Solanum lycopersicum: one gene and its partners. The main gene of each other region encodes a partner of the protein of the gene in region 2 in a complex. Links are inferred from orthologs where the notes say so. Each region holds a gene or a part of one and is shown on either strand. Other genes may lie near its edges. The genes, in order: 30S ribosomal protein S13, small ribosomal subunit protein cS23-like and small ribosomal subunit protein bTHXc.

Region 1 (3,292 bases), on a different chromosome or scaffold from region 2:
ACTACATCGTCGTCAATAATGCTAGTGTGAGGTAACAAGTAAGTAGTGAAATACGTGTAAATTGATCTGAACATCATCACTATTGAAAAACAGAAGTCATGGTCTTCAAGAAACCTGAGAAAAGTGAACCTTCTTGAGTACTAAAGGGGTGGGACTTAACTTTCATGCTCATGCATGTGACAAAAAGGTGCCACAAACTCTATGCTTTTAGTTAATTCTCAAAATGACCTAACGAGTCATTACATTAACAATGCTATGACTCAAATTGTAAAACTTTGGTATCACATTAATGCAAATACTTGGCCCAAACACATTACTGAACTTGAAGCTTAAACCAAGGCTCATAGATAGGGACTGCACTTCATAGGTCGTTACATCAACAATTATTATGACACCTAACGTAACTTAACAAACCTTTCTCCTGTCAACCAAATCATCCAATCAGAATAACGTAAATTCGCAATTACTCCACATGAAACACATTTAACAAGATTTAAGGAAGAGATTATGCCTAAGCATCAACATTCTTCTTGAAAAGCTCTTATCTTGAAATGTAGAAAAATGATTTCAATGGAAAAAACTGTTTATAACAAACAAATGCACAGTTTGCCATAGGAATATAGAGTGTAACTTTTACAAGTTAGTTACCAAAAGAAATGAAAAATCGATCTTGATTTAACGAGGTGCCTTCTTCTTCCCTGCAATTGCTACTTTCTTGCCCTTCAAAGTACGGCAATTGTTCTTTGTTCGTTGTCCTCTGCAAGGCAATCCTTGGATGTGCCTTACTCCTCTATAGCACTGAATCTCCTTCAACCTCCTAATGGCAAGAGCATTGAATCTCCTCTGATGCCAACACCACAAGTATGTAATCAATTTTCCCGTTTCAAATAGGAAGCCGAAGCATCAATCAAACAAACAACCTTATACACAAGAATCTCAATCAACATTGCCAATTGCTAAACAAGCTATCGATTTCTTCTGAAATACATTTCCATAAGAACTGTTTAATTTGGGATAAGGCTGTGATGCATATAGAAGCCATGATCCTACATACCCACCTAACAATAACTCCCCTTGTTTCGATTTGTTTGTCCGGATTTGACTTGACACAAAGTTTAAGAAAGTAAAGAAGATTTTTCGATCTTCTGGTTTTAATCTCAAGATATGTAGAATGCAGTTTCAGCTCAAATATGGTTCTTTCCATGTAAAAGTTGGACCAAAGATTGGTTTAAGATATTGTTTTTTTGGTTCAATTCCTATCTTGAGACAAAATGAATTAAATTTCTTAGAACCCCAAATGGCATTAAGTTAAACTATAGAGCTAAAATAAACAGCAACCACAGCAAAGTTACATGAACTAGATATCGAAATCAAATTACCTAAGCATATAAGTTTCAATAAGGATATGCACATTGGAACGAAAACAAATGAGTACAAATTAGAGCAATGAAACTCACAAGGTCTCCTTCAATCATGTACTTAGAGACTTCTTCACGAAGAGTGATAAGTTCCTCTTCCGACATGTCTTTCATCACTTTGTTCTCCATTTGAAGGTCTACCAGAATCTGGCGTGCAGTGGTGCGGCCAATTCCATGAATGTATTGCAAAGAGAACTCAACTCTTTTGTTGTTTGGAACTTCCACTCCTCCCACACGCACACACTTTATAACCAAACCTGCAGTCTACACAAAACTCATTTCAGTTCAAACTCAAAATCATGGAAAATTTAGCAAAACCCAATTTAATTCCAACTCAAAAAAGTCCAAAAATATGAAAAATAAGCAAACCTCAATTCAATCCCACCTCAAAAAAACGGAAACTTTAGCAAAAAAAACTCATGTTGGGTTACTGAGAAAATTTCGAAAAATCCAAAAACTCATTCCAATTCCTACTCAGGTAAAAAAAAAAGTAATCTTTAGCAAAACCCATGTTTGGTTACTGAGAAAATTGCGAGAAAAAAAAAGACAAACCCCATTCCAATTCCTACACGAAAAAGGTCAAAAAATGTAAACTTCAGCAAACTCCATGTTTGATTACTGCAAATTTCAAGAGAAGGGAGTGAAGTGTACCTTTGGAAAAGATGTGGGAGTAGAAAAAGAGAGGGAACTGTGCTTGGAGATGGAAGATGTGTTGCAGATAAGGGAAAGAGAAGGAAGTACAGGAGTTGCTAGTGTTTGCGCCATTGTTGAAAATCTTGATTGATGAAGAAATTGAAGAAGGAAGAAGATAGAGCCTTTTGCTGGTCTATTTTTCTTATCCTATTGGGGAAAATTGGATAGGGAATGGAGTTCTTCTTTTCGACCTGGTTTGCTAATATGGAGCCCCGGTTGTTCTTTTTTTTTTTTTTTTAAATTTTATTTTATTAATATGGTATTCGGGCTAGTTTTCATGCACTCGACTAAATTCACCGATGTCTATCATACTGTCACCTCCCAATAAGGATGTGGAAAAATCGAATCGATCAATAAACCTATTAAAAAAATGTTATTGGGTTATTGAATTATTGAGTTAATGGATTTTTAACGGATCTATAAAGGGTTTTTGATTAGGTATCAATTTTTAGTATTTGGTTATTGGATGAATCGATAACTCATTAAGACGATAGTAATTTATTACTATGCACTTTATAAATATTATTAATAATTTAACATAACTAGACATTATATCAGTACTCTACACATTTTACACGTCACATTACTTCTATTTTACATCTGAAATTTCATATTATGTTTTGGTTGTAACATGTAATTGTAGCCTTCGTATTACATCTAATTGAAATGAAGAAAATATTAGCTTTACAAAGAAATCTCTACATTTCATTTCTGATATCGCTCTTTTTATCTAAGGCCTAACCTAAATTTGGGGCGATAGAAATGCGAGTTGAAAATAAATTTACATGATCACTTACCAATTGAATAAAAAGAAAATTGATCTTTTAAAATTTTGTAGGCATAAAAATAAAGATCTCTCATGGGCAACAATAAAAAATTCTTATAAACAACATAAGATTAGAAGTGGTTATAAAATAATAAAGCAAGAACAAGAAGAATATTTTAGAGAAAATTAGAGAGAACCTATTTTTAAAGTAAAGAATTTTATAAATTTTAATACTCCATTAATTTAGTAATTTTAATATTATAAGATTATAACTAATAAATTTCATGACTTACTAATCCTATAAATTACATCTTAATGGGTACTTCAAACGATTCTTATGAGTTGTGAGTAATTTACTTTATAAATTCCTAAAAATAAAACACCTTCCAATTGCAAAATCCTACGAATTTGCTAG
Region 2 (3,759 bases):
ATAATTGCCTGTTTCTGGGATATCCATGGTTTACTCTCGAGCATGACTTTAAGTTCCTCCCAAGCATCTTTTCTAGGCCAAAAATAGTAGGGGCTCAACGGAATCGTGCCATGACCAGGAATTACCTGGTCTAGTGAAATTCCGATGTTCTTCTCCATCCAAATAAACTTCAACACTAGCCTAGGTTTCTCCAGTGGCTTGACCAACACACCGAGCTTCTGTACATCCAGCAGATTGTAAGAGCCAAACACCATAATGAAAATGGTGCAAATATTATGAAATTCTTAAAAAACTAAATAAAATGAGAATCAAACACCAAAATAAAGATATTGCAGACATAACTATGTAAATCAAAGCAGTTCGTCTCTAACCATTGAACTTATAAATGTCTTGAGACATTCACGCAGCATAGTATTAAAGTACACAGATGCATTGGTACGAAGAACCAGCCATCAATTTGGTCCAAGAAAGAAACAGAGCCGAGGAGACGTGTTGCATACATAACAAAATAAATAAAAACAATTTTTTTTAACAGGTTAAACAACTAAATGAGACATTCACCCAACATCGTATTAAAACGACAGATGCACTGGTTTGAACCGTCATCCATCAACTTGGTTCAAGAAAAAAGAATCGGAAAAGAAAACTAATCAAACCCGTGGAGATCTGTTGCAGCCTTTCAGACATAATAAAAATAAAGATAAAAGACCAATTTTGCTTTTTAAATTTTTGAAATAGGACAATTATGTCCTCCATTTCGTTTTATGAAACAAAAATGCCATCGCTGTTAGCCAAGTGGCTCAAAATTTCCCTACTCACTAACGGTTGTCCCACTCAGATGGAAAAGGGACAAAGTTATCCTCCAGTCCTTAAACAAAGTCAATATCACCCACAAAATTTTGGAACCAATGAGGCATCTGGTCATGTTTAACATTTTATATATCATCCCTAACGAAAACAAATTTATTTGCTTGGTCATTAATGAATATTGATTAGGTATTAAGAACTTGTTCTTGATAGCAAATCTTCACAAATTAATGCTATCTTTTACGAGAAAGACCTTTTTCCTGTCAACTGAAAAAAGATACTAATAACGTTCCCATAGTATAAAGTTAACTCGAATATCTACTTTACGCTAGTACGGAGAGATTGAATGTTATGATATAACTGAATACAAACTTACACTTTGATCAACTTAAAAGATGATAGCATAGTAAGAATGTGATTTATCAAGCCAGCTAATGGCAAAGGTATTTTTGTGCCAAAAACCGAAACGGACAACAAAGTAATCTTATTTCAAATAGTTCAAGAGAAAAATTGGCCCTTTTCCTATAAATAAATCTGCCCCATTATTCCTAAGCTTACAACTTTTCTTTTTTAAAATTAGTATTCCAATTTCCAGGCGATCCCCAAATCGGAAGAAACTACATATTATTCTTCATAGTGCCTCTGGTGGATTATTACATGGTCTTCCATTGTAATCTTTTTCATTCTAGTTCTATTGACAATTAAGACACACCCTTGGATGCAAAATCTTTTAACATTAAGAGGATGGTTCACTTCCCACAATTCAACAAAAAACTAAAGGATTATAACGGGCAGCGCGATGCACTAAGCTCCCTCTGGACCATGTACTGTCCACAGCCTGGTGCACTAAGCTCGCCCCCGAAAACAAGGGCCAGTTGTGCAGGTGTTGGTTGGTTAACAAACAGAAACCAAACAATGGATAGGAAATAATCGCAGCATTACTGATACTTATACACACTCTACCAAACAACACCTAAGAGGGAAGTCAGAGAGTGAAAATTACCTCTTTTTGAAGAGAATCTGAGGAAATAGAATCACGGGTCGATGTTTCTTCAGCAAAACTCAAGGCAGCCGCAGCTGAAGTAGCAAAACCCCCAAGATTTCTTCTGGGTACGATTGCTGAGACATTAGAACGTCGAGAAAAAGACTGCCCCTTTGTAAAGAAGACAAATTTGGGTGAAAAAAATTGGTTTTGAGAAGAAAACGCAGGAACCCAATTCACAGTAAGCTGTGTAGCCATTGATAACATCATTTTCAACAGCTAAGGGGAAACTCAGAGCTTCTCTGTCATTGTGTTGTGTTCTTCATCAAAGTCTAGATAAGAAAAAAAGATCCGACACAATATAACCCGACCCGGATTTTTTGGGGTTGGGTAAATCTATTTAAATGATAGCCTAATATCACGGATTTCGACTTTAAAAGTGACGGATCATGATACTAAACTTTATAAACTATCGAATATCCACCAAAAATTAACTTAGCAAACTTTAGTGTTGGGACTATACTTTAGGTTATTGTTTAATTATTTGGACTAATTTCAGGCTAATTTAGGCCGATATAATTGCAACAATAGCCTAAAATTTCTGAATTATATGTTATTTGTGGATTGGAGTACAATTTTTGGATAATTTTAGATAGGATATATTTCTAACAATGAGATTATATTGTAACAACAATGCTTACTCAAATGATTATTCTATGTCTGGACATTTTATTCAAAGAAAAAAATAAACTTGGTTCTCTATCCTTAAGATGATTGTGATACAATGGATGGTAAAAGGTTTAACGAAACCAGAAATTATAGTGATTCAGCGGCTAAGAAGGGACCTAGAATATTTACGACTCCACTTTTAAATACCCTTCACTCCCTTTAAAATGAAGTCTTTCTTTTTTGATAAAGTGATCAAAACTCGTAAAATAAATCAATATATCATAATATTATAATGTATATCAATATCATCTATGAATCGCAATAACATAAAATATGTTAGAATAATTAACTCGAATCGAATAAAGAGGAAAAAAAAGAAAAGAGGAGGCCAAATACAAAATGGTCAAAAAGTGTAGTTTTGGAGTAAACTAACCCAAAAGAAAACCGTGAAAGCCAGCGCGACTCTAACAAGCAGCCACACCAAACAGTCCTTTAAAACGGGTCAACCCGTGAAACACGTAAATCTTCAATAACCCTTTCTTTTTTGGCTTTAAATTCACTTCAATTTTTTTCATTTTTCCTTCTCATTCAATATCCTTCTAATTGGAGTTTCTTCTTCTTCGTTAGAGACATCAATCACCAGGTAAGTTGTCCAATTCAGTTTTCATGTTATTGATTGGTTCAGATTTAGAGATATACCATTAGATTCTGTTGCTGGTCTCTCTACTTCATAGAGACAATACACTTGTAGATAAAATGTTCAATAATCCTTTGAAGTCTTCCACTTTGTTTGAATAATTGTTATGTATTGTCACATAATGTATCGTATTCAATGGCAGAGCCACCTTATAGTTAGGTTCATCCCAACCTCGTTCGGCGGAAAATTATATTATTTATACATGGTTAAAATAGTTTTTAGTTACATATAGTAGATGTCAAACCCTCTTCGACCTCTTCTGCTAATTAGTATTTTGAATCCACTTACTGAAAATTCTGGCTCTGCTGTATTGTATTTTGTTGTATTCTTAATGAATTTAATATTTGGATAGATTGTGTTGTTCTTGTTCGTTACATGATTTTGTACATCCATGATTTGAATAATAAAGCTACAAGGAGAATAGGTAAGGTTAGAGCTATTGTGAAAAAGTAGATAAAAAATGAACTATGATTATTAAATGATAAATGAAGACAAAATGAGAAGAAAATGTTAAGGTAACGACGCAATCATACCAAATAGGTTGTTATATAAAATGAGGTTTTTCATCGTTATCTAACAATGGATTTAAACAATATGATACAAT
Region 3 (3,563 bases), on a different chromosome or scaffold from region 2:
AACCAATATGTATGTGAATTCTATTTATCCAACTTGTGTCCTGCTGTAAAGCTGGTTTATGATTGTATAGTGGACGCAGACAAACTTGGTGACCCAAACAAAAGAAGTTTTTTTGTGACTGGATTTGCTCACTCACATCTTGACTAATTCTTCGAGGTAAAGGTTACCTCCAACCAGCACAGATATGGAGTAATTCTATCCACGAAGGTCTAAATAAGAACCACCTAGGGGTCATTTGGTAGGATGTATTAGCTATGACATTTTTTGATCCTTTCTTTGTTCGAGGCCAAAGTGCCCTTGATAATATATCAAACCAAATAGTGGGTAGGAAATAGCTCCAACATAACTAATCCCAGCATTAGTAATACACTATATATTACTATTCTTATACACTCTACAAAAAGACCTCCTAATGTGTTTGTCTCCGCTAGTATATGAACCTAAAACCTCGTGGTTTTCAACCCATAAGGAATGTGGGGTTCTCTAAGCTTTTCACTTTTCTCAATAGCTAAAGTAGTGACTATTACCACTTGTCTACTGAAGGTTGCTAGAACCAAAATGCATAATTTAACAGGACACAAGAGCATTTAAACGAAGACCCTTCAAGCAAACTAGAAATCTCAGTCCAAATGATTAACTTAATCGATATTTCAATGAAATAAACAAAGTAGTAGAAGATTAGAGCTACATAAAAATGAAATTGCTCCTCCGAGAAAACTATGGGTCATGTATTTCAATTTTAACGACTTGGCCATCATCAAATGGATCTCTCTTTGGTGCTGCTGGTGGTGCTGCAACCCTAGGTGGTCCTCTTCCCTTCTTCTTGTTCCTTGGCCTTGCCTAAACCAATTCATACCATCGGAATCAGTTCAAAATAACAACAAAAAATGTCGAAACAACTGTTGTTTTTTCACTATTTCTGTCAAATCTAACGAACATAAATTGTTAAACGTATGATGATAACACTCTAAACTTCAAAGTACTAAAAATTGGTTAGAGCATATTTAACAGACTATTTTGAATCTATCATCAACATTGGTGGTTAACGAAGAGGGTCGAGAATCATGAGGTTTCAGGTTCAAATTCTATCAGAGACAAAATAACACTAGGTAATTTATCCCATCTATTGATAAAATTAGTCGAGATGCATCTAGGTTGCAATCAAAAATAAACTTCAAAACTTTTTAGGGGTCAATTCGTCTAAATGTATGAACAATTGAATCTCAGTATAAAATTCTATAATATTAAAAGCATTAAACTCCTGCATTAATTATGCAAAACCTTATGCACCAATAATCTTATTCCAAGTGAATCTATAAATCATTTTATATGGAATTAACATTCATTTAATCAAATATGAGTTAAAAAATTATTCATATTAAGTAATTTGTGTTGATATCTTATTTATCAATTTCAACAAAACACATACTTCTCTTTTCTAAAATTTAAAGGCATAAATACATTAAATATCTCATGGAATTATTTATTCATCTTCGATACACTCGTTATTTTAAGCCAATACCTTTAACTCAAATATGCAATAAATTTAATCTCAAATTCTATTTCGAGATTATTATTCTTATTCCACGTATCAAACTAGAATGTTAGTGTAGGATTCTCCTAATATAGAGGAGGTAAGTGTTTGTTTATAAAATATACAGGGGTGTATCTGAAACTAAATCATATTAAGGAGGTCTTATCCTGCAATAAACCAAAATATACAAACTCACATTGCCAAAGGAGTGATTGAACCGCTTGCCTTTCGCCGTCTTCTTATCACCTCTACCGCAGTAAACTGAAAATGAAATCAAATCAAAATTTCAATTTCTCGAACTGAAACTTCAATCATCACAAAATTTTCACAAACAATAAATTCGAAAAGGTATGTGATTCGTACCCAATGGGAGATTTGAATCAGTGAGAGACGAAAACGAAATTGATGGTGAAGGAGATGCCGCCGTAATTGAAACGCTGCCGGCGACGGAGTGAGAACGAGAGAATGATAAATTAGGAGAAAGAGAAGCCATGGATTGAACAGTACTCATAGGAACTGAACCAACTAACAACGACGCCATTGCAGCAGCTCAACTGATAGAATTGAGATTTTATTTGTGGTGGTTCTATAGCTTCTTATTCTGTTTCTAGATAATGTGCCCTTTGTCTTTTTTTTATTCAAATACCCCTGAATTAAGGTAAAATTCACTTATTTTTCCTTGTTTTTTTTTTTTAAAAAAAAAAACGTTAAGAGTTACTTGGATGGTAAATACCATTCATTTTAAACTTTAAAATTGTGAATTCAAGTTATCAGAAGATCAATTATTTTTTATGTAAAAGTATATCAAGCAATAAACTGAGACCTGAAAAGGATTGTTTGGAACGAGAAATAAGGAATAATAGTGTTATCTCAAACTCTATCTGTTCCTATTTAGTTGTCCATTTTAGAAATGACAAACATATTAATATAGCAATAATTAGAATAGTGAAGTTACAATTTTGCCCTTATTAATTATGATTTCGAAAAAGATGAATTAAAACTTAAAAATTTTCAGGAAGCTTAAATAAGAATATAATAAGAAAAAAAATTATCTTTTTTTATGTGTGAAAATAGACAAATAAATTGCAAAATGAGACGGAGGGAGTATAAATATAGTTAGATTTCATCACATACATAAAGAAATTTTAACATATATAATAATTAAGAGAAGTAATGAGATAATAGTACACCTCTATGACAGACTACTTGTCTACATTAACAAAGATATTTATTCAAAATTACTTGTCAAATTAAAAAATTAATTCTATTTTTTTCCATTTTGCACCTTAAATCGACTCTTTTTGATTAAAAATATAAATATTGTAAAGTTCCTCTTTTGTTATTAACAGATAAAGACACAAAAAATAGAATTTATGAAAAATAATTATAACAGTAAATTAGTAAAAAAATAAATATTTTTAATATTTCTTAAAAGACAAGAAAAAAGAAAAAAATGTACGTTGATATACAATGTAGGAAGTAACACAATGATTAATCATACAAGACATTCCCAATTGATTATAATTTTTTTTTTACCAAACTCACTCAAAAATACAAAAATATATTAATAACAAGTCAGTCAAAAGATGAAATACCCTACTCTACAAAAATTTGAGAACTCAATTCACTTATTATCGACCACAAAATTGACCTCGAACTATGACAGTACAGATTCATATAGTCGACCTCAACTTGTTTGGTACTGAACCGTAGATGTTGTTGTTGGTGGTGGTGAACAGCTCCCATGCAAATCACTCTACTCAATCTAGACACAGAAAATCAAGAACAAATAATATAGCCATTTCCCTACAGAAAAAAAACACAATAGATCGATCATTCACGTTAGTATTTATTCAAATATGTGATTTAAATCGACGTCTTGAGGAACTTCTTCTCCACTCTGTAGTTAAAATTACCAGAAGCATAAGGGAATCTCACCATTTTTCTCCTTAGTTTGATGCATTTCTTGAACAATTTTTCTCTGTTACGACTAAACTTCTTCACCCTTCTTGTTATTGATAGAAGAAGT

What was found.
Region 1: small ribosomal subunit protein cS23-like (region 2) and 30S ribosomal protein S13 share a complex: the UniProt entries of both Arabidopsis thaliana proteins name them as parts of the 30S ribosomal subunit. The link is inferred for Solanum lycopersicum from reciprocal best matches to the Arabidopsis thaliana genes PSRP3/2 and EMB3137.
Region 3: small ribosomal subunit protein cS23-like (region 2) and small ribosomal subunit protein bTHXc share a complex: the UniProt entries of both Arabidopsis thaliana proteins name them as parts of the 30S ribosomal subunit. The link is inferred for Solanum lycopersicum from reciprocal best matches to the Arabidopsis thaliana genes PSRP3/2 and PSRP4.

What each region holds. Positions count from the first base shown.
Region 1 is NC_090804.1:939,844-943,135, reverse strand, and holds 30S ribosomal protein S13, read right to left. Parts: upstream 2,263-3,292; 5' UTR 2,184-2,262; coding exon 2,070-2,183; intron 1,683-2,069; coding exon 1,458-1,682; intron 844-1,457; coding exon 676-843; 3' UTR 566-675; downstream 1-565. UniProt on the Arabidopsis thaliana protein: Located at the top of the head of the 30S subunit, it contacts several helices of the 16S rRNA.
Region 2 is NC_090802.1:7,166,132-7,169,890, reverse strand, and holds the start of small ribosomal subunit protein cS23-like, read right to left. Parts: upstream 2,167-3,759; 5' UTR 2,060-2,166; coding exon 1,811-2,059; intron 219-1,810; coding exon 1-218. UniProt on the Arabidopsis thaliana protein: Component of the chloroplast ribosome (chloro-ribosome), a dedicated translation machinery responsible for the synthesis of chloroplast genome-encoded proteins, including proteins of the transcription and translation machinery and components of the photosynthetic apparatus.
Region 3 is NC_090804.1:66,172,093-66,175,655, reverse strand, and holds small ribosomal subunit protein bTHXc, read right to left. Parts: upstream 2,299-3,563; 5' UTR 2,076-2,298; coding exon 1,898-2,075; intron 1,796-1,897; coding exon 1,731-1,795; intron 841-1,730; coding exon 718-840; 3' UTR 587-717; downstream 1-586. Other genes in the region: uncharacterized protein, read right to left, coding at 3,525-3,563.